4 linked regions of the Macaca fascicularis genome follow. The protein of the gene in region 2 interacts with the protein of the main gene of each other region in a pairwise test. Links are inferred from orthologs where the notes say so. Each region holds a gene or a part of one and is shown on either strand. Other genes may lie near its edges. The genes, in order: PRR14, CBX5, SUV39H1 and INCENP.

The links.
Region 1: the proteins of CBX5 (region 2) and PRR14 interact in binary tests that used the Homo sapiens proteins (3 or more experiments, as listed by UniProt). The two-hybrid records come from large-scale screens. The link is inferred for Macaca fascicularis from reciprocal best matches to the Homo sapiens genes CBX5 and PRR14.
Region 3: the proteins of CBX5 (region 2) and SUV39H1 interact in binary tests that used the Homo sapiens proteins (3 or more experiments, as listed by UniProt). The link is inferred for Macaca fascicularis from reciprocal best matches to the Homo sapiens genes CBX5 and SUV39H1.
Region 4: the proteins of CBX5 (region 2) and INCENP interact in binary tests that used the Homo sapiens proteins (3 or more experiments, as listed by UniProt). The link is inferred for Macaca fascicularis from reciprocal best matches to the Homo sapiens genes CBX5 and INCENP.

The regions. Positions count from the first base shown.
Region 1 is NC_088394.1:28,809,953-28,817,372, reverse strand, and holds the start of PRR14 (proline-rich protein 14), read right to left. Parts: upstream 4,001-7,420; 5' UTR 3,654-4,000; intron 3,196-3,653; 5' UTR 3,147-3,195; coding exon 3,124-3,146; intron 2,988-3,123; coding exon 2,819-2,987; intron 2,507-2,818; exon of another isoform or gene 2,344-2,506; intron 2,038-2,343; coding exon 1,919-2,037; intron 1,848-1,918; coding exon 1,658-1,847; intron 1,393-1,657; coding exon 1,349-1,392; intron 507-1,348; coding exon 397-506; intron 93-396; coding exon 1-92. UniProt on the Homo sapiens protein: Functions in tethering peripheral heterochromatin to the nuclear lamina during interphase, possibly through the interaction with heterochromatin protein CBX5/HP1 alpha. Might play a role in reattaching heterochromatin to the nuclear lamina at mitotic exit.
Region 2 is NC_088385.1:61,087,133-61,093,892, reverse strand, and holds part of CBX5 (chromobox protein homolog 5), read left to right. Parts: intron 1-5,258; coding exon 5,259-5,359; intron 5,360-6,760. UniProt on the Homo sapiens protein: Component of heterochromatin that recognizes and binds histone H3 tails methylated at 'Lys-9' (H3K9me), leading to epigenetic repression. In contrast, it is excluded from chromatin when 'Tyr-41' of histone H3 is phosphorylated (H3Y41ph).
Region 3 is NC_088395.1:48,850,205-48,857,626, reverse strand, and holds the start of SUV39H1 (histone-lysine N-methyltransferase SUV39H1), read right to left. Parts: upstream 5,055-7,422; 5' UTR 4,891-5,054; coding exon 4,839-4,890; intron 3,964-4,838; exon of another isoform or gene 3,940-3,963; coding exon of another isoform or gene 3,921-3,939; exon of another isoform or gene 3,792-3,920; coding exon of another isoform or gene 3,767-3,791; intron 2,293-3,766; exon of another isoform or gene 1,834-2,292; coding exon 1,688-1,833; exon of another isoform or gene 659-1,687; coding exon 1-658. UniProt on the Homo sapiens protein: Histone methyltransferase that specifically trimethylates 'Lys-9' of histone H3 using monomethylated H3 'Lys-9' as substrate. Also weakly methylates histone H1 (in vitro).
Region 4 is NC_088388.1:11,875,105-11,881,864, forward strand, and holds part of INCENP (inner centromere protein), read right to left. Parts: intron 5,325-6,760; coding exon 5,273-5,324; intron 4,455-5,272; coding exon 4,400-4,454; intron 4,283-4,399; coding exon 4,165-4,282; intron 2,913-4,164; coding exon 2,861-2,912; intron 2,454-2,860; coding exon 2,336-2,453; intron 2,245-2,335; coding exon 2,113-2,244; intron 1,657-2,112; coding exon 1,645-1,656; intron 1-1,644. UniProt on the Homo sapiens protein: Component of the chromosomal passenger complex (CPC), a complex that acts as a key regulator of mitosis.

The sequences.
Region 1 (7,420 bases), on a different chromosome or scaffold from region 2:
GAAGAGCGGGGCCAAGCCCCAGGGACTGAGGCGGGGGCGTAAAAGGCTGGACGGTGGTGGGGTGGATGGGAGCTCCAGAGCAGGATCTGGGGCTGAGGAAAGGAGAGGTCACAGGTGGATATTCCTTGGCTGCAGTGTCTCAGCCCCTCCTCAGTAGCCTCAGCCCCTCCCTGCATGCTCAACTTTGTGCACAGAGGAATTAGCCCACCCCTAAAACAGTAAGTTCTGCATTTAAGAATTGAGCTTCAAGTCTCTGACATCATCATCCCATCTTCATATACCATGCCCTGCCCTGGGAGGGTAAGCCCTATCCCCACCTCTGTACCTGACACTTCCAAGCTCAACTAGGATGTTCTAGACCCCCAAGTCTCATCTGATCTCTACCCAAGTCCTTACCTGGTGGTGGGCTCTCTGGAGGGTCTGCAGGCAGAGCAGATGGCTGGAATGGGGGTTCTCGGTCCCCGGGTGGAGGTGTTGGCTGGTGAACTGTCTTCATGGGCTCAGCTCTGGGGTGAAGGGCAAAGTAAAGGCTAGGGGAACTTCCAGGTATCCCACCTGAGCCAGCAACTCCCCTATCCCTTAAGGCTTCTTCTTCTTCTTTTTTTTTTTTTTTTTTTTGAGACAGAGCTTTGCTCTGTGGCCCAGGCTGGAGTGCAGGGGCAGAATCTCAGCTCACTGCAGCCTTGAACTCCATCCCGGGCTCAGGCAATCCTCCCACCTCAGCCTCCCAAGTGGCTAGAACTACAGGCAAGGACCACCACATCCAACTAATTTAAAACAATATTTTGTCTGAGCTTGGTGGCTCACACCTGTAAATCCTAGCACTTTGGGAGACCAAGGCGGGTGGATCACCCAAGGTCAGGAGTTCAAGACCAGCCTGGCCAACATGGTGAAACCTCGTCTCTACTAAAAATACAAAAATTAGCCAGGCATGGTGGTGGATGCCTGTAATCCCAGCTACTGGGGAGGCTGAGGCAGGAGAATCACTTGAACCCAGGAGGCGGAGGTTGCAGTGAGCCGAGATCACACCATTGCACTCCAGCCTGGGCAACAGAGCAAAAACTCCGTCTCAAAAATAAACAAATAAATAAACAAAACAATGTTTTTGTAGAGATATGGCCTCACTGTGTTGCCCAGGCTGGCCTCAAACTTCTGGGCTCAAGCGATTCTCCTGCCTCGGCCTCCCAAAGTGCTGGCATTACAGGCGTGAGTGTGCCTGGCCCCTTAAGACTTTTTAAGATGTCACAAGGAAGGATTGGATCAATCAGTCCCGATGCCCCTAGCTCTGGCTACCTGGATGATGGCTGTTGCCTGGATCCTTTGAGAATCCCTACTCCAGCTCTCTCACCTTTGTGCTGGGATGATGAAGTTGGGGGTCTCATCAATGAAGCCCTGGATAAAAATAGGGGAATGTTTGTGGGGAGGCAGGGAAGCCTCCTTAGTGCCCCACATCCTGACTCTTTCAGTTCCCAGATACCTGCTTGGGTTCATGCCAAAGAGGTTTTTATATAGTCTTTGCTCAGGTAGTGCCTGCCACCTAAAATGCCACTCTCCTCACCCCAAGAAAAATCCACCTAAGACTCAGGCCTCCCACCCTTCTTCTATCCCTGCTGGAACCCAGTAGAACCCTTGATATCCATACCCTCAGTTCCCATACCTCAGCTGGGGGTCTAGGACTGGCAATGTCTTCCAGCATCACCACCAGGGTGGGCTGGGGGGCCTGGTCCACCTTTTGTGAAGGGCCCTCCTCTGGGCCAGGGGTTGTTCTTGATCGCCGCCTCAGGGTGGAAGAGGTCCGGTGGACGCGGCTCAAGGGCTCGCGACACAAACACAGAGGATCGGGAGGCCTAGGGAGGGAACGGGAAGATTAGAAGGGCTCAGCTGGGCCCTTGGTTTACCCCCATCCTGCCATGCTCACCTGGCCTTCGAGGACCACCCGGCCTGCCGGGGTGGCGAGGCAGGAGGCTGCATGTGGACAGGATCCTGACGGCTGTGGTGCTGTGGGATGGAGGTCTCCTTTGAGGGTACCACGGGGCCCTGGAAGAGAAAGAGGTGTCAAGAGCAAGGTGATGGAATGAGGCTGGATGGGACAAGGTCTCCCTGTGCCTAACAGTGCCCTGAGCCACAAACATAACAGAGATTAGGGCTAGAATTCACTCGGATCCCCAGAGAAGAGATGAATTGGACTGAATTAGGGGCCAGATATTAAGAGTCCTAAACTGCAGGTGTGGGACCTGGGTAATCTCACCCACGCTGTTTAGGGAAACAGACAGGGTGAGCTAGGGTGGGTCACTGCCTTTTTTGGGCCACAGTTTTTCTTATCTGTGCAGTGGAGTCAAAGACCTCAGCCTGCTTCCTAAGGAGGCTGGGCTGGGAAGAAAGCAGAAGAGTTTCAGCCCGGCGCCGTGGCTCACGCCTGTAATCCCAGTACTTTGGGAGGCAGAGATGGGAAGATCACTTGATGCCAGTTTGAGACCAGCTTGTGCAACATAGCAAGACCCTGTCTCTACAGAAAAAAAAAAAAAAAGATAGAAAAAAAAAAGATAGAAAAAAAAAAAAAAAAAAGAAGAAGAGTTTCTCAGAGTTACAGGGATGTGGTTCCATCCCAAAAAGGTTGGTGGGGGGAACGGGCACTGCCCAATTCTAGGTTGGAGTAAGTGGGAGCCAAGCAGGACTCTAGCATGAGGGAGGCTGCCTGAGGGATGGGTACAACAATGATGGATTTGGACTTCAGTTATCCTCAGTAGCGATCTGGCCCGAGTTTGGTAGTGAGGAAAGTCAGGGGAGAATAGAGGGTCTCTCGGTTCAGGGGGCTCACCATGTGAACAGCCATGATATCTTCCAGCACCACGGCCAGGACCCGCCGAGAGGCCTTTTCCAGGGGAGAAGGGGCCCCCGGGGGCTGCAGCCTCGGCCGTTTCGGGCTCCTGGCTCCCCATAATGCTCGAGTCAGAGGCTGGCGGCACAGACGCGCCTGGCTAGGCGGGCTGGAGGGTGAAAGAAGCAGAGGACGGTCGCCCGAACCTGTCGCCCGAACCTGTCGCTGGCTCTGTAGTTTCCCGGCACGGCCGCCAGGATCCCCATCTCCCGGGGTCAAGACAGGCGGGCCGGGTGCGCTCTCACCTGGGGTCCCCGGGCAAGTCCATGGGAGACGCGGCGGCTCCAGGGGGTCCCTGGGGAATCCCAGGCTGCGGCCTGGGGTAAGGGGGGAGCGGGGGAGCGGGGGGTGAGGGTTGGCCCCTTCCCTGGGGCTCCGCCCTTCATGGTCCGCCCGCGGCTCCCCGTAGCCCAGCGGCCGCAGCCCTGGGGCGCGAAAGGGCGCCCCCGGTCGGTCGCCCGGAGCGGGTGTCCTCCCGCTGCCACCGCCTCGATCAGCGGATCACTCGCGCCCTGCCTGGCACCTGCCGCCAGAACCCAGAATGCAGCGGCCCCAGTTCTCCCGCGGCCCGAGCCTCCTGAGGCCTTTGTCCCTGCAGATTGTGCCCCGGGATCCACGGGGATCCCGGTCCTGGGAGGCTATTTCCGCTGGATCCCTCTGTGATCCTCCTCCTCTCACAGCGAGTGGCCGAGGACTCCAAAGCAATACTCCACACATCGACGACCCTCCCTCCCACCAGATCCCCTAGACTGGATCCCTGAGGAAAGAATCCTACAGCGCGGTTCCGCCAATCAGACGCCGGGCGAGGCTTCTCCTTCCCCTGTGAGCTTCGGCGCCGCAAAGCTCCTATCAGACAGGGGCGGCCCGAGCTGGAGCATCTTCGAACTCAGCCTAGATCCCCAGGGATCCACTGTCAAGCAGATACCCCCTTCACGCCAATCCCGGGAGGTCCCGCCCACAAACGCCCCCTCCCTCCTTGCGTCCCCGCCCAGCGGTCTCCCCCGGCCCAAGACCAGATGGTTCAGAAGTTTCCTTCCCCGCCCCACCCCCGCCCTCTCCAGCCACTCCTTGCCCTCCCCAAAGCGTTGCTCACCGCCGCCTCCCGTGGATCCCGGGTCTTCCGCAGCTCCCACCTCCGGCTCCTTTAAAACCAAGCTTACCCAAGGCTGCCCAACCGCCGATGGCCTTCTTATCGGGGCCTCTGGACACCGCCCAATCGCCGGTCCCCGTCTTCCGGGGTGGTGAAAAACTAAGTGAAGCCACCTGGCGGCCATCATCCCTAGGGGCAGGAAGCCAAACTGAGTGGCGCCGCCATGATGGTTGAGGGCAGATGTCTTAGTCCTCGTTGAACCATGGTGGACTGGGTGGCGTCATCTTTTGAGGGCCACATACAATGCCAGGTTTCTTGATATGTTGAGGCAACCGATTGAAGCTAGAGTGCCGCCACGTTTTTTAAGGGCATCTTCCGGTTCTTTGGTTCTTAGACCAATAAACGTCGACTGAGTGCTAACGATATGAGAAATTCCCAATTTCCTAGAGTGGCCTCGTTTGAGGAAGTTTCCGGCACCTTCCTGCGTTCCTAAATTGGGTTCCCACAACCCAGGGTCCGATTTTAGGAGTGGGTGGCGGAGGCCCTGACTCCGAATATCCGGGATCAAAGACGGGCTGGTGCGGCCTGTGGCTCCGTTGCTGGCGCCTTGTCCTGGAGATATGGGGCCGAGCCGAAGTGGGGAGGAGACTGGGGGCGCTGAGCTTGACTTCCCCTGAGTATTGTCTACGGTACTTCTTTCCGGAGGAGTGGGGGTGCCCGCGGTCCGCGCAGAGGGCTACAGGACAGGGGCGTCTTTGCAGGAGGCCAAGAATATAGCTTGGCTTGCTCGTGGGGCCCGGCTCTCAGGAACCACTCTCTCAAAAGGGGCCTTCATGATGGGGGAGGTGTAAATAGTTCTGAGGAGTAAGGGATCAGGGTGAGACGCTGTTGCTTGGAGGAGCTGCGTCATGGACCGTTTACCGGGAGCTGGGCTATTGGTGGGGAGGAAGTGGGCATGTAGTGGCTTCTTGTAGCACTATGAAGGTGACCTGACCGCTTAACCAAAGCCCGTGTCTGTGCTAGTTCTCCTTCCCCAGATTCCCTGATCCAAACCAGTCCTCCTTTTCTTTTTTATTTATTTTATTTTATTTTTTATTTGAGGCAGGGTCTCGCCTTTTTGCCCAGGCTGGTCTTGAACACCTGGGCTCAAGTAGTCCTCCTGCCTCAGCGTCCCAAAGTGCTGGGATTACAGGCGTGAGCGCTCAGCCCCAGTCCTTATCTTGTTTTCTTAACAGAACGAGAGACCCTGAAGCCTAGAATCCTGGGTCCGAGATAAGGTGCAGAGGTGCTTCCTGGTCTAGGTGTCATAATTCTTTCTCAGGGGATTGAGTGAAGAAAGTGATAAAACAGGGCCGGGTGTGTGCTGGCTCACACCTGTTATCCCAGCACTTTGGGAGGCAGAGGATAGCGGATCACTTCAGGCCAGGAGTTCAAGACCAGCCTGGGCCACATGGCAAGACCCCATCTCTACAAAAACAAAAAACAAAAAATAAGCCGAGCGTGGTGGCGTAAGCCTGTAGTCCCAGCTACTCAGGAGGCTGAGGTGGGAGGCTCTCTTAAGCCTGGGAGCTCGCAGCTGCAGTGAGCTATGATCACGCCACTGCACTCTAGGCTGGGCGACAGGGACCCTGTCTCAAAACAGACAGACAAGGGATGATATGGAAAGAGCATAATCGGGAAATGGAAATGAAATGGAAAGAGCTTATGTGGGAAATGGAGGCTCCCCAGCTCTGTCCCTAAGGACTCAGGCAGGGAGACGTTCTTCCAGGACTACAGCATCTCTGGAACAGGAGATCCACTGGGCCCTCTGGAAACGCATTCAGAGTTCTGGTGGGAGCAGGCCATGGGTCTTCCACGTAGAGGCCTTCTCTCTCCCTCTGGATCAGGCCTGGCAGTCTGGTGCCTGAAGAGGTACAGTGATGTTTCATTCAGCTGTGAGTGCTTGGAGATTCTTCCAACCTTGCCAAATTAGGAGCTAAGCCCCACAAGTGCTTTTCAGGCCCCAGGGCAGGAAAAACCTTCAAAAGCAGAGCAGGCCTAACCTGAGTTTTTAGGTATTTTTTATTTGTTTGTTTTTGAGATTATCTGTCACCCAGGCTGGAGTACAGTGGCGCCATCTCAGCTTACTGCAACCTCCGCCAGGGTTCAAGTGATTCTCGTGCCTCAGCCTCCCAAGTACCTGAGACTACAGGCGCTAACCACCATGGCTGGCTAGTTTTTTGTATTTTAAGTAGAGACGGGGTTTCGCCATGTTGGCCAGGCTGGTCTCGAACTCCTGGCCTCAAGTGATCGGCCTGCCTTGGCCTCCCAAAGTGCTGAGATTACAGGCATGAACCACCACGCCGAACCCTAATCTGAGTTTTGATTCTCTAGGTCTCTTGAAGTCAGTGACACCAAGGGCAAAAGATGTAGTCCAAAGAAAAGCCCTGGACCTGAGTATTTGGTAGGAAGAGCCCACCAGTGTGACCCTAACTTGGAGTGCTAGAATTCATCAAATGGAAATGTAAGGTAGACTGTGGCAGTCTTGGCCCTTAGCCTAGGCCAGCAAATGTGAGTCCTCATGGTCTTGCAGTCTCACCTCTGCTCTTTTTGTGACTTTCCATTTCAACAACTTCTACTTTGCCCACTCCCTACACAGGTGGTGGACATACTGTGGGGTGTACCCCAGTGTATGCTGCTGATGCAGTAGCAAGAGGGCCCCACACAGACTCCAGTGGGGCTGCTGGTGTGGCCGTTGGTGCACTTCGGTGTGTCATTCAGAAACCCAGGGTCCGTTTCGACTGTGGGTGGCCCATCTTTCTTTTTTCCTTTCTTAGACAAGGTCTTGGTCTGTCACCCAGGCTGGAGTACAGTGGTGCGATCATGGCTTACTGCAGCCTTGACCTCCTGGGCTCAAGTGATCCTCCCACCTCAGCCTCCCAAGTAGCTGGTATCACAGGTGTGCACTGCCACACTCAGCTAATTTTTTTATTTTTATTTTTTTGAGACAGAGTCTTTTTTTTTTTTTTTTTTTTTGAGACGGAGTTTCGCTCTGTTTCCCAGGCTGGAGTGCAGTGGTGCAATCTCAACTCACTGCAACCTCTGCCTCCCAGGTTCAAGCGATTCTCCTGCCTCAGCCTCCCGAGTAGCTGGGATTACAGGCATGCACCACCATGCCCAGCTAATTTTTGTATTTTTAGTAGTGACAGGATTTCGCCATGTTGGTCAGCCTGGTCTTGAACCCCTGAACTCAGGGGGTCTGTCCGCCTTGGCCTCCCAAAGTGCCGGGATTACAGGCATGAGCCACCGTGCTCTGCCAGTGAGAGAGAGAGAGAGATATATATATATGTGTGTATATTTTTAATTTTTAGTATAGACAAGGTCTTGTTATGTTGCCCAGGCTGGTCTCAATCTCCTGGGCTCAAGAGATCCTTCTGCCTCAGCATCCCAAAGTGCTGGGATTACAGGCATGA
Region 2 (6,760 bases):
ACTGCAATCTCCGCCTCCTGGCTTCAAGCGATTCTCCTGCCTCAGTAGTAGCTGAGATTATAGGCGCACGCCACCACGCCCGGCTGATTTTTGTATTTTTAGTAGAGACAGGGTTTCACCATGTTGGTCAGGCTAGTCTTGAACTCCTGACTTCGTGATCTGCCTGCCTCGGGCTCCGAAAGTGTTGAGATTACAGACATGAGCCACCATGCCTGGCCGGGGCTTTGAAATGTTTACCATGTCACTTCCTTTTTTCTTTTTTCTTTTTTTTTGGAGACAGAGTATCTCTCTGTCACCCAGGCTAGAGTGCAATAGTATGATCTTGGCTCACTGGAATCTCCACCTCCTGGGTTCAAGTGATTCTCCTGCCTCAGCCTCCCAAGTAGGTGAGATTACAGGCACACGCCACCATGCCTGGCTAATGTTTTGTATCTTTAGTAGAGACAGGGTTTCACCATCTTGGCTGGGCTGGTCTCAAACCCCTGACCTTGTGAGCCACCCGCCTTGTCCTCCCAAAGTGCTGGGATTATAGCCGTGAGCCACTGCACCCGGCCCTTTTTTTTGTTCCAGTGATAGCATTTGCTTTCAATCGTTGATAATCTTTTTTTGCAGTGAAAATCATATAATATACAATTAAATATTTTATTTATTTTTATTTATTTATTTTTGAGATAGAGTCTTGCTCTGTCACCCAGGCTGGAGTGCAGGGGCATGATCCCAGCTTACTGCAACCTTCACCTCCTGGGTTCAAGCAATTCTCCTGTCTCAGCCTCCTGAGTAGTTGGAATTACAGGCATGTACCACCGCAGCCAACTAATTTTTGTATTTTTATTTTTATTTTTTATTTATTTATTTTTTTGAGATGGAGTTTCACTCTTGTTGCCCAGGCTGGAGTTCAATGGCATGATCTTGGCTCACTGCACCCTCCGTCTCCTGGGTTCAAGTGATTCTCCTACCTCAGCCTTCCAGAGTAGCTGGGATTACAGGCATGCACCACCATGCCTAGCTAGTTTTGTATTTTTTTTTTTTTTTTTTTTGAGACAGTCTCGCTCTGCTGCCCAGGCTGGAGTGCAGTGGCGTGATCTTGGCTCATTGCAAGCTCCGCCTCCCGGGTTCACGCCATTCTCCTGCCTCAGCCTCCGAGTAGCTGGGACTACAGGCGCCCGCCACCTCGCCCGGCTAGTTTTATTTTTGTATTTTTTAGTAGAGACGGGGTTTCACCGTGTCAGCCAGGATGGTCTCGATCTCCTGACCTCGTGATCCGCCCGTCTCGGCCTCCCAAAGTGCTGGGATTACAGGCTTGAGCCACCGCGCCCGGCCTAGTTTTGTATTTTTAGTAGAGAGAGTGTTTCTCCACGTTGGTCAGGCTGGTCTTGAACTCCGGAACTCAGGTGATCCACCTGCCTTGGCCTCCCAAAGTGCTGGGATTACAGGTGTGAGCCACTGCGCCTGGCTCAATTAACAATTTTAAAGTGTACAGTTCAGTGGCATTTATATTCTCTCGATCTATTAGTTCTACATACTTGACGTACAAAATTAATTTTTGTCTTTTGAATCTTCTTCAGTTTGGGAAGTGTATGAAATTTTGGTTTGATTTAGTTGCTTTAATCCTTCTGATTTTTAGCTCTCAAGTAAGTAGAATAAGCACTGTTATTGCCTCTCTCTTTTTTCATCTGTGTGTGGGCGCATAAATACACACACTCTTCCATCTCCTCCCGCCCCCAGCTTCCACTCCTTTCATTTATTTCAAGGTTATGAAGCCTTTTGTGGTGAAGGATGTATCATACACTTTACATTTAATAAAAGCATAAGTCTACTTCGGAATCTTCCAGCCTTCCAGAGTAGCAGCCACAATCATCCCTATTTATCTTCATTGTAATTAGATATATACCTTTCTAGAACATTAGTTCCTAACCCTGTCTACACATTATAATCACCTGGGGGGTACGTTGAAAAAATTTCTAGTGCCTAAGATGCACCCCAGACCAGTAAAATTAGAATTTTTTTTTTTTTTTTTAAGACAGAGTCTTGCTTTGTCACCCAGCCTGGAGTGCAGTGGCACGATCTCACTGCAACCTCTGCCTCCTGGGTTCAAGCGATTCTCCTGCTTCAGCCTTCCTAGTAGCTGGGACTACAGGCACATGCCACCACACCTGGCTAATTTTTTGTATTTTTAGTAGAGACGGGGTTTCACCATGTTAGCCAGAATGGTCTCAATCTCCTGACCTGGTGATCCAACTGCCTCGGCCTCCCAAAGTGCTGTGATTACAGGCATGAGCCACCACGCCTGGCCTCTGTCATTTTTAAAAAGGAGCTGTCTGAATAATCTGGCTTAGAAGCACTGGCCAGTGCAGAGAATTTTTGTTCTTAGGCCAGGTTCTGAAGCTGCCAACCTTGAAAACAACCCCCACATGTCCCTTACATCATAATGTTCATCTGGGGCCCCTGATAGCATTCTTAGCAGTACTGGCTGCTGTCAGGTAGACAGCTGAGATGATAGGTGATTGTATGTTTTAAAGGTACAGGAGGGGATTGTGTATCTTTTTTAAGACCCCTGGAGAAGAAATTTGTTAGTTTGCATTATGCCTGATTTAAGATTACTGCCTGTATGATGATTTTAGCATTTTCTTCGCCCCGGCTCCTTTTCAGCAACTTGAACATTTTTCTTCCATTTGCCTCCCCTTCCCTCCCTATGTAGCAAACTATTTTCAGTTGCCAGTTATGATTTACAACTTAGTCCATGTGCCAGCATTCCAGCTGTGAGCAGCTGTGTGAACATCTGGGAACTTCTTCCCCGTAAGCGCCCCTAAAAGAGGCTATGTTTTTAAAAGTCAGTATCTCTCATTGATCCATGCATGGAATTTCCTTCCAATTGTGGATTTTGGTATCTTTGGGGACCACCCGGACCCCACATGCTTTGTATGTCTCAGAGGAAAGCAAGTGAACATAAGATCAAAGAGATTTTATTATGAAAATCAGGCAGTAGATATTTAGTTCATTTGGGCACCTCTAAATCTTTTTTTTGTGTTGTCACTGGAGAGGCTAACATTATCTTCCATAATAAAGTTTTTAAAAATTCTCTAGTTTAGGCCGGGTGTGGTGGCTCACACCTATAATCCCAGCACTTTGGGAGGCTGAGGCATGTGGGTCACTTGAGGCCAGGAGTTCGAGACCAGTGTGGTCAACATGGTGAAACCATGTTGAAAATACAAAAATTAGTCAGGCGTAACTGGGTGTGATGGCTCCCGCCTGTAATCTCAGCACTTTTGGGAGGCCGAGGTGGGATGGATCACCTGAGGCCAGGAGTTTGAGACCAGCCTGGCCAACAAGGTGAGACCCCCATCTCTACTAAAAATGGAAAAATTAGCCAGGTGCAGTGGCATGCACCTGTAATCCCAACTACTCGGGAAGCTGAGGCAGGAGAATCACTTGAACCTGGCAGGCGGAGGCTGCAGTGAGCCGAGATTGCGCCACTGCACTTTAGCCTGGGCAACAGAGGGAGACTGTCTCAAAAAAAAAAAAAAAAATTACCTGGCTTGTATAAAATTTTGCTTTTTGGCTCTCATCAGTATTATTACACCTGGATTAGAACCTGTGCTCCTTGTCTAGATTGTATTACTGCATTTAGACCAAGTTTCAGTACTCATCTCATCAATTATCAAATTTTCTTCTTTCTGTCTTAAGAGACAGGTTCTCACTATGTTGCCCACCATGGAGCACAGTGGCATGATCATAGCTCACTGCAGCCTCGAACTCCTGGGCCCTGGGCCTCAGCCTCCTGAGTTGGAGTAGCACACTTCAGGTGTGCACCACTGTGCCCAGCTAATTTACAGAGACAGTTGCCTATGCTGGTCTCCAACTTCCAGTCTCCTCCTGTCTCAGCCTCCCAAAGTGATGGGATTACAGGCATGAGTCACTGCACCAAGCCAGTTTTTTGTTTTTGTTTTCTTTTTTGTTTTTGTTTTCAATCACAGTCCAGTTCTGCCTTCTAATGCTAGCAATCATCTACATCCAGAGGGGATAGGCATTGACCCAGGGCCTTCTGTCCAACCAAGCATATAAGTATTGGTGTTTGTGATCTCTGAAATTTTGCTATTTAATAGTATTGGCCTTGCATAATTCTTACCTCTATTCTTTCATAAATATAGGCGACTGTGAAATGTGTTAAAATTATTGGTTAGTGTTAAGGTAAACTAAAAGTCTAAAAAAATAAAGATTGAGAGAGAGGTAGTATATTTGAAGTTCATAAGATGAAAAGATATAGTTAGGGTAAACAGGGTATTCTTTAACATTTCAGAAGCTTATTTACAATATTAAGGAGATTCCAAGTGAGTGGGATTAGAGGAATTCCTAGATGTTGACTCCAGAGTATCTTTTTTTTTTTTGAGACGGAGTCTTGCTGTGTTGCCTAGGCTGAAATTCTGTGGTGCGATCTCTGCTCACTGCAATCTCCGCATCCCAGGTTCAAGCAATTCTCCTGCCTTAGTCTCTCGAGTAATTGGGGTTACAGGCACCTGCCACCACGCCTGGCTATGTTTTTGTATTTTTAGTAGAGATGGGGTTTCACCGTGTTGGCCAGGCTGGTTTTGAACTCCTGAGCTTGTGATCCGCCCGCCTCGGCCTCCCAAAGTGCTGGGATTACAAGCGTGAGCCACCGTGCCTGGCTGACTCCAGAATATCTTATAGGACATTAGAGACTTTTAGGGTTCACCTCTAATCTTCTGGAGGAATTCCAGGAAAGATAATCACATCTTTTTTTTTTTTGAGACGGAGTCTTGCTATGTCGCCCAGGCTGGAGTGCAGTGACCGGATCTCAGCTCACTGCAAGCTCCACCTCCCGGGTTCACACCATTCTCCTGCCTCAGCCTCCCGAGTAGCTGGGACTACAGGCGTCCGCCATCTCGCCCGGCTAGTTTTTTGTATTTTTTAGTAGAGACGGAGTTTCACTGTGTTAGCCAGGATGGTTTCGATCTCCTGACCTCGTGATCTGCCCGTCTCGGCCTCCCAAAGTGCTGGGATTACAGGCTTGAGCTACCGTGCCTGGCCGATAATCACATCTTACAAAAATATCTCTTGGCATCACTGTCACTTCATTGTCACTGTCAGTACTTAGTATTAAGTTCTAAAAATTTTTCTGAATTGGTGACAGAAATGATATCAGGAGATATTAACTTAGGTTGTGTTTTGTTGAGCCTAGAAACAGGGAGTTTCTTTACTCTTTCCACAAGCTGTAACCTTTCTTCGTCTTCTATTTATAGCAGAGCAATGATATCGCTCGGGGCTTTGAGAGAGGACTGGAACCAGAAAAGATCATTGGGGCAACAGATTCCTGTGGTGATTTAATGTTCCTAATGAAATGGTGAGAGAGATTTGGCTTCATGTTACAATTGTGTTTCTTTGCCAGTGACTTGAATTTGTGCGGAAGATAGGGTGGCAAGATTGTGTATTCCCAAACCATGAATTTTCAATGTCAGAGATTTTTTTTTTTTAAAACAGTGTTTCGCTCTTTGTTGCCCAGGCTGGAGTGCAGTGGCGCAATCTCACTCAGCTCACTGCAACCTCCGCCTCCCAGGTTCAAGTGATTCTCCTGTCTCAGCCTCCCAAGTAGCTGGGATTAGAGGCGCCCACCATCATGCCTGGCTAATTTTTGTATTTTAATAAATAAATAAATTAATTAATTAATTTTGAGGCAGAGTCTTGCTCTTGTTGCCCAGGCTGGAGTGCAATGGTGCAATCTTGGCTCACCGCAACCTCCACCTCCGGGTTCGAGCAATTCTCCTGCTTCAGACTCCCAAGTAGTTGGGATTACAGGTTATGCACTGCCATGCCTGGCTAATTTTATATTTTTAGTAGAGACAGGGTTTCTCTTTGTTGTTCAGGCTGGTCTCAAACTCCCGACCTCAGGTAATCTGCCTGCCTTGGCCTCCCAAAGTGCTGGGATTAAGGCATGAGCCACTGTGCCTGGCCCATTTTTGTATTTTTAGTAGAGACGGGGTTTTGCTGTGTTAGCCAGGCTGGTCTTGAACTCCTGGAATATCAAGAGATCCTTGCTGATACCAATTATTGGTGTTAAATGGGAATTATGCTTCAGAATGGCTTGCTATTAAGCCAAATTATATTAGATTACATATCAGAAAAAAAGGTAACTTTGAGGTAGAAAATATGTAAAGGTTGGGTGCAGTGGCTCACACCTGTAATCCCCACACTTTGGGTGGTCAAGGCAGGCGGATCGCTTGAGGTCAGGAGTTCGAGGCTAACCTGCTTAACGTGGTGAACCCCCATCTCTACTAAAAATACAAAAATTAGCTGGACGTGGTGGCGCATGCCTGTAGTCCAGCTACTTGAGAGACTGAGGAAGGAGAATTGCTTGAACCTGGGAGGCGGAGGTTGCAGTGAGCTGAGATCTAGCCATTGCACTCCCGCCTGAGTGACAGAGCGAGACTCCGTCTCTTAAAAAAAAAAAAAAAAAAAAATATATATATATATATATATATATATATATATAAAAACAACATGACTTAACCATTTGTTTACACAGTTCTGAATTACATACTGTAAGACTATGGGCCTGTGACCCTGGGCTAGACATCAAATGAGGCTTTCTGCCATCCCTGAGGGCCAAACCTGCTGAATAATGTCTGAAAGAGAAAAATAATCTCAACAAAAAGCATTAAAGCTAATACTGGCCAAAGCACAAGTTATTTCATTCTATAGAGAGAGAATGGCGCTAAGATGAAAAGGAAGTAGTTCTTCTCAATTT
Region 3 (7,422 bases), on a different chromosome or scaffold from region 2:
CCACGTACTCCATGACGAAGCTGTTCTTGCGAATCTTCTCCAGGGTGCGGACGCCCCAGCCACGCCCATCATCCGTGCGGAAGATGCAGAGGTCATATCGGATGCCTTTCTGTACCACGCGATTCGGGCAGTCATAGCCACAGCGGCAGCGGGAGTTGCACTCGTAGATGGGCAGCCCGGCTCGAAGCCGCACCTGGCCCTGGTCATTGTAGGCAAACTTGTGCAGTGATGCCCCCGGGCAGCAGCCTCCAGTGGGTGCCCACAGACAGTCCTGGCACTCGCAGCCCACAGCCACCTGGTTGAGGGTGATGCCCTCACCAACACGGTACTCATTGATGTACACGAAGGCCCGCGGGGGGCCGTCCAGGTCCACCTCATTCTCTACAGTGATGCGTCCCAGATGGCTGCGCTTGGCATTGAGCTCCTGCTCCCAGCGACGGAGCGCCCGCCTCTGCTTGGCCTTCTGCACCAGGTAGTTGGCCAAGCTTGGGTCCAGGTGCCGGGGGGTCTTTGACCGGTGGTGCCGCCGGAGCAGCTCCCTCTCTAAGTCCTTGTGGAACTGCTTGAGAATACGCACACACTTGAGATTCTGCCGTGGCTCCCAGGTGCTCTCTGAGTCTGGATATCCGCGCCATTTCACCAGGTAATATTCCTGTTCCTGTTGGGGGTGGGTAGGGGAACGGTGGTACCATAAGTGGTGAGATCTTTGGGCCAGCCTTCATGGGGCTTCCATGCCAAAGCTGATGGATAACACCTAACCCACCCCACCCCTTTTCTGGAATGACTTCATGCGGTGGTTAAAAAGCATGGGCTCTAGCGTGAGGATTACCAGGTTCAAATCCTGCTCTCCCCCTTACTGTCTGTCCAGACTGTTCCAACTTTTAATTAATCTCCCAAACCCACTCCCCTCCTTGGTCTTCCCCATCATCAGCTCCCTCCTTCTAGCTGTTCAGACCGGAACTCCTGGAGTCATCCTTGAATCCTCTTTTGTTCACACTTCCGACATCCACCCTCCGCACATCCCGTTAGCCCCACCTTCAAAATACATCCAGTGACAAACCATCATCACTGCCACCACTATGGCTCACCTGGACCCTGACAAGTCCTTGCCTGTTTTAGGCAGCTTACATGTATTATTAACTAACTTAATCCTCACAACCCGACATGAGGTGGATGCTCCTAGTCATCCCCCTTTTATGACAAAGGAAATGAAGTACTGAGGGTTTGGGTAGGTAAACACACCAGGACTGGAACCCAAGCATGCTGACTCCAGTTTGTTCTCCTAACCATCCTGCCACTCCCCCTTCTGGCAATAACTGTCCCCATTTCACAGTTGTTAGGGGATTAAATGAGTTTCCTAGAGGAAGCACCTGGCACACTGAAAGTGCTCAATAGCCGTTAGCTGTTGACATTTCCACTCTAGGGTTCAGCATCTCAACCTTTGCAGTTACTTTGTATTCCTAGGGAGATGGGAAGAGAATTCATTCCGGCTCCTGCCCCCATCAGAAAGCTACTTAGTTTCCCTATCTGTAACATAGGGATAAAAGGGTCTGTTCATCCTATTTTTCCAGGGTCAGAGGAGAAAATTCCCTTTGCAAACAGATGTGGGCAGTTGGGGACAAGAGGGCAGGACACTTAACTTCCTTGTGACCTGTCCCCTCCCAGAGCATGGTCACCCCAGACTCACGCGGATCTTCTTGTAATCGCACAGGTACTCGACTTCAAAGTCATAGAGGTTCCTCTTAGAGATACCGAGGGCAGGGCAGGAGAGCTTGGCCAGGCGGCACAGGTCCTGCAGCTGATTCCAAGAAGACTTGCAACACACGCTGCAGCCTGGATCAAGCAGGGCAGAAAGAACTATTACTGGGCAGTCTGACAAGGCCAGGTGTCAAAGGGGACCCCAAATCCTCCCTGGGACATCCCAAAGACTGCCTAAGAGTCAGGGAACTTTAATCCACAGGCCTTCCCCAATGCTGAGACTGTTCTACAACAGAAATGTGCTTTGAACCCCAATGCTCACTGCCCAAGGCTGCCCCTGGAGCAGCAGACCTCTGAGGGGGGTTTGCAACATGAATCGTCCTAAAGGAATCTATTTCCAGAGCTTCAAACTCCATGTCATTCCTAATACTGCCTGCAAACCTGCTTTGGGTTCAGGACCTGACTACCTTTCTCTCCACTTTGCAAAAGAAAGAGAACAACCCCCCATCTCAGTAGGATGCAATGCCCCGAGGTGTTGGGGGCGGTGGGCGCGGATGGGAGGACAAGATTAAAACCTCCAGGGCACCAAACAAAGGCTAACTGGAAAGACTGGTCTTTAATCCCTTATCTCAAACTCCTGGGCCAGATGTGGTTTGGAATTCAAAATTTTTTGGATTTTACAAGACTAGTTCTAGGATACATCACCTAACACCCCCAACGTGGCCACGGGACATCAAGCTATAATCAAATGCATTAACTGTCCTGCAGCAAAAGTATGAATTTCCCACATTAAAGAGGAGAAATAGAGATATAAAATAGCCTCACAGAATAGTTCCACTTTATAATCTACTTTTGCCATAAATGGTGCCAAATTTAAGAAAAGGATTTCAGTTTTCAGGGCTTTTTAGATTTCGGAATGATGAGCAAGAGATTGTGGAATGATACTACATTACAGGAAGGCTCCTTAAATGATCAATCTGGGTGCCTTAAATCCACAAGGTATATTTTTTCACACTACATTTTGACTTTCTGTCTCATCCATCTTTCTGTGAAGAGTAAAGCTCATCCAAAGGGTTATGCTCTGAATTTATATGCAAAGCAGTACAGATTAGTGACACTGATTCTTTTAAATATACCTGGTATATTTCTGGGGCTGCCAAAATTTTGTAAGACAGAGATTTTAAAAAATAGATTTCTTTCTGATTCAAGGCACATTCTTAATCAATGTGCTTTAGAAGCCATTTTATCAAATCACGTCTCAAAACATTCCAAGGGCAGTCAGTCCTCATCCTACTTCATCTTTTTAAAATGTTTAATATTTTCTGCCTCCCATTGCAAAAATCACACTTAAACTCTAGATGTCAACCTAAAAACGTACAAGAGCTTTTCAAAATTATTTCGTGTGCAAGCCATACCCCCCCCACTTAGGCAAGATCAAGTGGAGACCGAGCCCGCATGTGCCCACGCTTTCCTCTCCTGGCAAACCCCTTCCTTCACTTGCATTCGAAACCCCACTTAAGTGGTCCCAACTAATACCTCCAGCTGCTGGCTCCGGAACTGGCCACAGGTGGACTCTCCTGAACCCCTCAGAGGTCCCCCAACTTGTGGAACCCGTCCTCCCTGCGGCTTTTGTCACATAGAGGGGCCCCCCAACATAACTGAGTCACCCCTCTTTCCCTGCACATGGGGGAGTCCAGCTGTCCTACTAGGAAGGCCCCATTTCCCTCTTCTGGGGGATCCTCTATTCCAAACCCTTCCCCCATCACGCCGAGAGGCGATACGTTCCCCCTGAAGAGTTCCCTGTCCCCGCACTCTGAAGGGGGGGTCTGTCCCCCTTATCTTCCCTCCCCTTCCGGCGTCTCGCGTGGACACCGAATGGGTAACGGTCACCGGGGGCCGATTTTCCCGCGCGCGGGCGCGGCCTCCCCGACAAGCCCCCGCGCGTGCGCGCGCTGGTCCGGTCGCGATCTGCGGCGCGCGCCCCCCTCCTGCGTCCCCACTTAGCCCCAGGCCCGCTGCGTTCCGAGGTACGCGCCCCCTCCCCTCAGCCCCGCCCAGCCCCGCGCACCAGGCCCGCGCTCCCCGAGCTCCATCCTTTCCGCGCCGAGCTTCCGGCTCCCGGCGCCGGGGCCTCAGACGCCGGGGTCCCGAGCCGGCGACGCCACCCCTCCAGCCCACCCGGCCCGGCCAGCGGGCCCGCGCCTCTGTCTCCACTGCTTCACCTTTTAAATTTTCCGCCATCTTTCCCCACGGCTAACGACATTCGGGCCTAGCCGGCCTCGCGAGAAGAGAGCTCGCGCGGGCGTGGCCGGGAACGCGCAGCCTATTGGCCGCGGCTCGCGACTCGCAGCACCCGCGCGGACCAACCGGAGAGCCGTGACCGAACCCCTCCCTGCCGCCCGGCTCGGTCCCGGAGGCGGGTGCTCGCCGCACTTTCCCAGAGTGCGTCTGGGCGGCGGCGGCAGCGGGAGCGACAGTGGCGGTAGCTAAAGTTGCCCGAGGCCCTGCCCGTGCGCTGGTCTGTCTGTCACACTGCTAGCCAATCACCTTATCAGCCAGTCACAGTGGCTCCTGAGTTCTGTCATACTCCCTATTATCACCGTCAGTCAGCCCGTCATCACATTTTAACCCCAAGTAGGCCGGGGCTCCCAGGTGGACTAGCGCCCCATCCAACCGCTCAGGCGGTCGCACCAGACAGATGCCTAATCAGACCCCCGGCCCCCATCCACACTGCCGGGCAGTCAATACCGGTTTCCATTTGTGCCCCCGGGCCAGCGGCGACTCCCTGGAGGCAGGCAGACAGCACTGTTAGCCAGCCAGCCTTATCATTCCCTATGACCGTCCTGTCCTCAATTAGTCCTCCTCTCCACCCACCATAGCCCTGGGACCAGCTGCGATTCTCTCTGGCTAAATCCTCTCATAGACTGCAGCATCCAGCCATGCCCCCAGGCGGGCTGTGATTAGGTCGGGGCAAGCTGTCATTGTCAGCATCTAATACAGCCCTGTCGGACACTATCAGTTGATCACTGTCTTTCCCTCAGATTACTTCTCATTCACACCATGATCAGTCACAACACCCAGCTAGGCCCTCAAAGCAAATAGTCACAGCAACTAGAGGTAGGATTAAGCCTCCACACCACCTGTCAGTGGGTCAGCCAGTCTGTCATTTCTCAGGCGACTCATCCCCACCATTGGTCAATCAGTCTCCTCGGATGCGTTGAAGCTGAGATTCTATCAGAGCAGACAGTCCGTAACCACGTACAGCCATCGAGTCAGACGGTTATGCTGATTTTGCTGCTGGCCAGCTGGCCTGTGACTCGTTCAATCCGCCCCTCATCACATCGTCAGTCATTCTCAGCATCCGACTGACCGCACCGTCTGTCAGGTGATCAGTCAGTCAGAGCACCCAGCCAGGCCCTCCAGCATGCTGTGATTCGAGCAGCGTGGACAGTTGATTACCAGATACAGCTGCCTAGCAAGCAGCCACGGATCTGTTGATCAGTCAGCCTGAGGTTTCCCCAGGTGGCCCTCCTTTACACAGTGCCAGACAGTATAACATCTAGACATTCCCCCAGGCCAGCTGTGATTCCTGACAATAGTCATTCACAACATCTGGCCACCCAGGCAGGCAGTAGCACCACGGACCATCAGTTAGTCAGCCTGCAAGGTCCTCAGGAGGCTGCCTGTCTTTTCCACTGTCAGGCTACCAGCCCCAGCCAGTCCTAGGCAGGCTGTCATTCAGTTAGATGTTCAGGAAACCGCGCTGTCACTTCCTCAAATTGCCCCCTCTCCCTGTCACTCCATGAGTTCTGTAGTCAACCAAACGGTTATACAGTTAACCAAACAGATATTCTGTCTGCCTGCTAGTCCAGCTGTGAGCTCATTAAGAAGTGACTGGCTGGTCTGAGGTTCCGTCAGCCCTAGCTTGCCCTGAGTGGGACAGACAGGAACAGAAGTCCCACCATGCATCCCCTTCCCTCCCTTATTCCTTCTCGAGCAGAATCAGATTTTCGTCCTCATGTACCCCCAGTCTCCTCGGGCAGCAGGACTCTCCCACTCCTGGGTGTCCAGGAGACCTGTCCAACCCACAAGAGTGATTTAAGACAGGACCTCTGCCTGTCTGGATCTGAGGGGGAGACAAAAGGGTCTGTGGCCGGTGGTGCCCCAAACCACTATAAAGTAGTGGGCAAAAGCCTGGATTCTGGAGCCTGACTACCTGGACTCATATCCAGGCTCTGCCATTTACTAAATTACTTGTCCTTAGGCAGTTTCTTTTTTTTTTTTTTTTTTTTTTTTTGAGACGGAGTCTCGCTCTGTCGCCCAGGCTGGAGTGCAGTGGCGCGATCTCGGCTCACTGCAAGCTCCGCCTCCCGGGTTCACGCCATTCTCCTGCCTCAGCCTCCCGAGTAGCTGGGACTACAGGCGCCCACAACCGCGCCCGGCTAATTTTTTGTATTTTTAGTAGAGACGGGGTTTCACCGTGGTCTCGATCTCCTGACCTTGTGATCCGCCCGCCTCGGCCTCCCAAAGTGCTGGGATTACAGGCGTGAGCCACCGCGCCCGGCTGTTTCTTAAACTGGTCTGTAAAACCTCGAGTAAGTGACCTTGGGGTGGGTGTCTCCTGCTCATCTGGAAAGTGAATCATTCTGGACTAGCACTTTTTCAGGAAACCTCAAAAGTTAAGAGGCCATCTCAGAGCTACCGTGTCCCACCTCCAGCCATTTGTCTGTTCATTCAGCATTAAATTAATGGCTACTGCGTTGCCCTATGCTGGGGCCAATATAAGGTTTTATTCATTTCAGGCTTCACAGGTTTGACCTGTTGTAATGTAAACCTCAGATTGGAGTGTAACACAAATACAGATGGGTACATAGACCAGGGGTGAACACTGTAATGAGTTTTCTTTTTCTTTTTTTTTTTTTTTTTTTTGAGACAGAGTTTTGCTCTTTTTGCCCAGGCTGGAGTGTAATGGTGCGATCTCGGCTCACCACAACCTCCGCCTCCCGGGTTCAAGCGATTCTCCTGCCTCAGCCTCCCGAGTAGCTGGGATTACAGGCATGTGCCACCACCCTGGCTAATTTTGTATTTTTAGTAGAGACGGGGTTTCTCCATGTTGGTCAGGCTGGTCTTGAACTCCCGACCTCAGGTGATCCACCTGCCTCGGCCTCCCAAAGTGCTGGGATTACAAGTGTGAGCCACCGCGCCCAGCTGTAATGAGTTTTCACAAGCAGACCTACATGTGGAACCAGAATGCAGGCTGAGCAACCATTTAGCCAGATCTCAGAAGCATTTAATTGTTTTGTATAAATCTATTGGGTACAAGTGTAATTTTTTTTTGTTTGTTTGAGACAGAGTCTCACTCTGTCGCCCAGGCTGGAGTGCAGTGGCGTGATCTTGGCTCACTGCAACCTCTGCCTCCCAGGTCAAGCGATTTTCCTGCCTCTGCCTCCTGAGTAGGTGGGATTACAGGCGTGTGCCACCATACCTGGCTAATTTTTGTATTTTTAGTAGAGATGATGGGGTTTCACCACGTTGGCCAGGCTGGTCTCAAACTCCTGGCCTCCAGTGATTCACCTGCCTCAGTCTCCCAAAGTGCTGTGATTACAGGCGTAAGCCACTATGCCAGGTCACAAGTGTAATTTTGTTACACAGATATTTTGTGTAGTGGTGAAGTCAGGCATTTTACTGTATCCATCATCTGAATAATGTACATTGGCCTCCCAA
Region 4 (6,760 bases), on a different chromosome or scaffold from region 2:
TTGCTCTTCTGTCTGTGCCCCTGCCAGGTGACCCTGGACAGAGAAAGCTGCCGAGTCAAAACTCAAAGGAGGAGCTGTGATCCCAAAAGTGTGGGCCAAATCCTGTGTGTTTTTCTTTCTCTGTCCCCCTGGCAGGTGGCCCTGGACACAGTCGTAGAAGCACGCAAAGCAGAACAAGGTAACTAAAGCACCAGCTTCCCAGCTGGAGGACAGAAAAGGAAGTCCCAGAGGAGATCAGGAAAATGATACTGCAGGGAATTGACAAACGAATAGGCTCAGCTCCAAGCTGCAGATGCTAGGATCTCACCCTAATTATCCCAGCAAAGGCTGAGAACTAAACTAACAGACCACCTTCCAGGTCCCAGGCTGACTGCTGACTGGCACACACACCCGGGAAAAGTCCAAACAGCACTGCCATCTTCAAAATCGAGACTAACATTGGAACCACAGTCCCCAGAAGGCAGATGGGAACCTGCAGCCTAAACCTAACCAGGTCAATTGCTGCTAAATTGCAACGCTGAGAAAATATCAACCTTGTCCATAGATTTAAACAAGACCCAGAGGCTTGTAGCCTAATGTTCAGGATGCAGTCCAAAAGGACTCTGTAGGCCCCTGGGCTCCTAACTATGGACTGTCCCTACCCACTAGATGCCCTGTGCAGGGACCTGGGATCCCCAAAGCAGGGAAGAGCCACTTCCTGGTCTTCTCTATCACCCCATGAAACCTGCAGGGCTCTGATCGGTCTGGGTAGGGCACAGGTGGTAAGGCCACTGGAAGGTTACTGTCAGTCACCCTCTCCAACAAGAGGGGAACAGGCCTCCATGGGGAGAAGCCAGTTCAGGGCCCACCTGGCCAGCTGCTGGGAAGCCCCTCCCACCTGCCGAGGCCCTCAGCTGGAGGCAGAAGCCCTCCTGGCTGTCACAAGTGTCCCTGTGTGACTGCAGAGGACTCTTCAGAAGGCTTGCAGGAACCAAAGGAATGAGGCGGCTGCGGCCTTGGCAAATGGCACGGGGAGCTGGGGCTGAGGGTTAAGCATGTCCCCATCCAAAGGTCCTTGCTCAGAAGCCAGCCTGGCTCAGCTCAGTTCTGAGGTGTCTGAGAAGAGAACAGCTTCTGCGACTTGTTTCTAGATGTTACCACTCACTGTTCTGCTGTCGCCCAGCACAGCCAGACCCGGCCTTCCACCTCAGCTCAGACCCACACTTGCCCTCCCCTGTCATCCCACTGCCTCAAGGCTACTGCTCAGGTCTGTGAACCAATAAATCTCAGTGGCTCTGGGGACCACAGACAACCTGTCTGTTCTCTTCACAGACCCACAGACCCTGAGGAGGCCTGGTGCTGGGGAGGAGGCAGGGAGGTGGCTGTGGGGAACACGTCAAGCTGTAGCCCTGGTGAAAAGCCGCACCCCCTCGCTTCCTCCTAGGAGCAGAGTCAAGGGCAGGGAGGGCAGAGAAAGATGCTGGGGCCCAGAACTGCTGGGCGCCTCCAGCCAGTGCACTCCTCACCGTCCCACTCTCTTCCTAAGGCTCCCCTCCCGCTTACGATGTTAGTGCATCTACAGGTGCTGTCAGCTACGCAGGGAAGGGGCTACAGCGGGTAAGTGCTAGGTGGGGCGGGTTACCGACAGGAAAAGGCTTTACTTACGACAAAGCTGCACTGTGGAGAGGAGACAAGGGAAAAGGTAAGAGTTAATGCCAGGCCGGGGGACGTCCTGCCAGGCAGGCCACATGCCCAGCTGTGCCAGCAAGCGTGTGTGGGGCCCGCCCTCCTGCCAGCAGCACCCCCAACGCCTCTCCTGTCACCCAACCCTCACCCCAACGGTGGAGGTGTCCACAAGTACTCCTCACCTTAACCACACAGATCTCCAGGGCTTACACTGAGCCGGCCGAGCCTCCAGGCTGCAGTCCAGAGCCCACAGGTCAAGTGCAGGACAGTGCCCCCAGAGGTCAAGACAGCTGGTGGCCACAGAGGCTTCAGCTGGCCCCTAACAGTGCCAGGCCACACCTGCCTCCGCCCAGGCTCACACTACTCCCAGTATCTTAGGGGACAGACTGGACCTTCAGCCACACTGCCTGGTTCCCACAAAGCCCGACCTGGGCACAGGCCCCTCACCTTGGGGTCCACGCGCAGGGGAGTGTTGCGCTTAATAAAGGACTTCATGACGCTGCGGGGGGCTGAGGTCGGGGTCATGAGCATCTGGTTCCTCTGCACCGTGTGCAGAAAGGTCCGGAGGGGCCGCACCACCTGCAGACGAGGACCAGGGTCAGGAGTGGGCAGGCGGGGCAGGGTACCGAAGGGGGTCAGGGTTCTAGGGCAGGGCAGACGCCTGGCTCACCTTGCTGGATGGGCAGGGTGAGGAAGGGGTCTTGCTCCTGGGGGGCTGCAGCTCCTCATCCTCCAGGTGCTGCTCCTCGTCCAGCTCACTCACCGCCTGCTTGTAGCTGCGCTTCCTCCTGCCACGGCGCAGGCGGCGGCATCACAGGGCTGCCCACCACAGCCCATCAAAAGTCACCCCGGTGAACAATTCCGGGCCCAGGCCACCGGCCTCTAGGCTGAAAGAGGCTGCAGAGCCTAACCAACCCTCTGCTGCCCACTCAGAGGAAGGGAGGTGAACAGTCCAAGGTCACATGGCCAGGAGACCGCCCTAAGACGGGGTCAACAATTGGTTCGCCCTATTCCCAGGCTGGCGCTCATCCACAGCATGGAGCCGCCTCCTTGGTTAAGTCTCAACACCAGGCCACACCCCAGCAGAGAGGCTCTGAAGCCCCCGAGCACAGATCCACCCTCCCTGAGCAAGGACACAAGGCCATGTCCTCCAGGGCCCTCAGAGGAACCCGCACACCCCTTCCCTGATGCAAACCTGGCACTCTGCGGTGGCTCTCTGGGTCCATCTGCTTGGTCTGTCTTGGCCTCTGTGAAAACAGCAATTTCAGCAAGGCTGCAGAAATGATGGCGGCGGCAGGGTAGGAATGGGGGCCTAGGGGGAAGGGGTCCCTGGGCAGCAGCCTTGGCAGTGAGCAAGGCTCCCTTCCTGGCAGCTCCGGGGTGGCCAAACGCAGACGTATCAGCCTTAACCCTGACTAGCCTTGAGGAATCTACAGATACCAGGGCCTGGCTACCCGCAGCTCATGAACCCCTCCCCGCCAGTGCCTGGCTCTATGGTAGGCAAGGCAGGGTGGGACGGTCCCGTCGAGGCGGCAGCCCCAGATGTGCCCCACCCACCTCTGACACTAAGAACAGTGTGTGGACACCTTGTAGAAGCAGGAGCTCTAAGCCCCTTGCACAGATTCTAAATCCCACCCCTCCTGGGCCATGCGGCTGGTGTGGCCATGACGGGAGGAGGGGGTGGCTCCGGCTGCAGGGTCAACATGCGGGGTGTAGGGTCAGTATGTTCGTTTCACTGCTAGGAGAAAGTGCACGTCACTCCAAAAGTTCCCCGCAGCAGCCCTGAGGGCCGTGAGGCTGGCATGACCATTGTCCCTGACCACGTCGCAAAGAGGAGGAGGCTATGTTCAAGATCTCATAGCTATAGTGCACTTCCCACCAGAGAGAAGCACCCTTCTCACCAGAGAGAAGCACCCTTCCCACCAGAGAGAAGCACCCTTCCCACCAGAGAGAAGCACCCTTCCCACCAGAGAGAAGCACCCTTCTCACCAGAGAGAAGCACCCTTCTCACCAGAGAGAAGCACCCTTCTCAGGGAGATGTGAGCAGGACCCTGGGACACGCCCAAACCCACTGTTCTCCAGCCCTCTTTAGACGGGGATGGACCGACAAAGGTCAGAAAGGAGCTGGCAGCAGAGGCAAAGCAGGAGGCCAGGTGCGTGTTCAATTCCCAGCCCACGGCTCTTCCCACTGGCCCCTGGAGTCGAGGTCAAGGCCTTGACCTGGCCTCTTCATATCCGTACCCCAATGCAGCCCCTTCCCCTGCTTCCTGTCCCAACCAGCCACAGCCCCCCATGCAGCACTCAGTGACAGCTCCAGCCCAACAGTGGGAGGTGAAACCTACAGACTCAAAAGGGATCTCTGCACCCCCAGGTTTAATTTCTCTTTAGCCTACTGGCCCAGAAATAGGGCTTCCTTATCCCCAGAGAGAAGGTCAGGCCGAGGCCACCAAGGCCCGCTGTGGCTCTGGGCACTAAAGGCGGCAGGTCAGGGAGCCTCACCTTGCTGCCCTGCAGAGGGCGTTTCCGGACTGCTGGCTGCAGGCTTCGGGTTGGGTGTGCTATTGCCAATCTCCGTGTCATTGCGGGGCCACGAGTTATTTCCGTTGTTCTCAGGGACCTGTGGAAAGAACCAAGGCTTTAGGGGTCTCGACCTGGAACCCAAGGCCCAGGATGGCCGCAGGGAAGAGCGGGAGCCCCAGAGGTGAGTCCTCCCTTCCCCAGGCAGCCGCCTTACCTCTGGCTCAGCTGCCGCTACCGGCTCAGCCTCCTCGGGGGACTCCTGCTCAGGACTGAAAACAGAAGAGGGGACTCTGTGGGGACTGCCCAGCTAGTCCAAGCCCTCCCCCATAGGGAATCCCTCTCCTACTCCAGGGATGGGGGACTCAAAATGTCAACACAAGGTGCCCTGGCCAGGGCCACCAACCCACAGCCCCTGCGGGATGGGAGGATGGCAGCTCCAAGCCATGGCTCCGTGGGCACACGAGGGATGTCAGCTTCAGAATGTGGCTTCATCTCCCAAGCACCCCACCACACAGCTGACACAGAGCCCTGTCCTCAGTTCCACCTCCACCTCTTGGACCCAGGTGAGCTGCATCTCTTTTGTGGTCTGTTCTCCATTCACCATGGGGCGGGCAAGGCCAGCAGGTCTGCCCAGTCACCCTGTTTCCCCATCCCAAGAACAAACCCTCTGCTCTGCAGGAAGGAGGGAGGGGCTGGTTTTAGTGATGGCAGGACACGGCCTCCAGGAAAAGGAGTCTGTGTCCCGGCCAGAAGCAGCACTGGGTGTAATCCTGGAGCACCACTATCCTACCCCAGCCAGTCTGAATGGCAGCTGGCAGCTCCGCCTCACCCCCAACCTCTGGAGCTCACACCCCAGGGTCAGGTCTGGCCAGGCAACCAGCAACACTGACGGGCGCTGCAAGGAGACCAGGCGACCAACACTCACGTCACTCACTGCCTGGTCAGACAGGGGAAACGGGCAGCCCCTGGGCAGTCAGGGATCAGTGGGGAAGGCTCAGCCCAGGAATTGCTTCCAGCCTTGGTGCTCACCTTGGCTCCCTGTCCTGGTGTGCCCTGCCCACTTGCAAAGCCCTGGAACTGAACTCACCCAACTTTCTCGGGCACCTCAACATTCAGAAGCCTCTCCAGGTAACTGTGACCTGAGGGGGAAAAGCAAGGCACAAAAGATGTCACCAGAAACCACTCGAAGGGGTCCAGGGGACCAGGTTCCAGCAAGGACCTGGCCACTGCTCCCATCACTAGCCCTGCCATGCCCAGGACCCTCCCCTCAGCACTCATCCTAGTGTCTTTATCGGAGTTCCTGGCTTCATGTCCCCTGCTGCTTCCCAGATGGTCTTCCCATGCCCATCTGGGCACAGCTGGGCATCCTCACTGGGCTGGGAATATCTTGAGAAGAGGGACAATGTCTGTTGCAGCTCCAGGCCCCAAACTCCCAGCATGGGGCCCAAGACAAAGCAGCTCATTCTGTTAACAAATATTCATCAAGTGCCTACAGTGTACTGGGACCTGAGCCAGGCCCCAGGGCCCCAACGGTGAGCAAAACAGAACCACTGTCTGGTCTAGATAACAATCATCAAATAGTCCCGTCAACAACACCAGCATGGCCAATGATGGAACACAGCACAGAAATTTTTTTTCTTTTTTTTGAGACGGAGTCTCTCTCTGCTGCCCAGACTGGTGTGCAGTGGAACCTCAGCTCACTGTAACCACCGCCTCCTGGGTTCAAGCGATTTCTGGCTAATTTTTGTATTTTTAGTAGAGACGGGCTTTCACCATGTTGGCCAGGCTGGTTTTGAACTCCTGACCTCAAGTAATCCACCCGCCTAGGCCTCCCAAAGTGCTGGGATTACAGGCATGAGCCACCGCGCCTGGTCCAGAGCAGAGAATTTTAAAAGCCTATGACAGGGGGACCTGAGCTGGTCAGGAGGAGTTTACAGACAAAGGAGGAGGATGTCCAGGCCAGTGGTTCTCAGCTTGCATTCTCTGATCCCTGGATGTCCTTGAGACCCTTGGGGGATCCACGAGGTCATAACTAATCATGATACTAAAATCATGATACTAAAATATTACTTTCCCCCTTTCACTGTGCTGACACTTGCCCTGAGGGCACAAAAGCAATGAGGAACAAGCTGCTGAAGCCTCAGCCCCAATTGAGGCCAGAGCATCAAACACTATCCTCGGACCACACACTCACAGGAAGGAGAGATGTCCAGTTTCACTGAGGAATGTCCTTGAGGAAGGTGTAAAAAGTACTAATTTTTTTTTTTTTTTTGGAGACAGACTCTCACTCTGTCACTCAGGCTGAATGCAGTGACTCAATCTCAGCTCACTGCAACCTCCACCTCCTGGGTTCAAGCGATTCTTGTGCCTCAGCCTCCCAATTAGCTGGAATTGCAGTCATGTACCACCACACCCAGCTAATTTTTTATATTTTTAGTAGAGACAGGGTTTCGCGATGTTGGCCAGGCTGGTCTCAAACTCATCCTCAAGTGAACCACCTGCCTCAGCCTCCCAAAGTGCTGGGATTACAGGCGTGAGTCACCGCGCCTGCAAAAGTCCTAATTTTACTAAATCT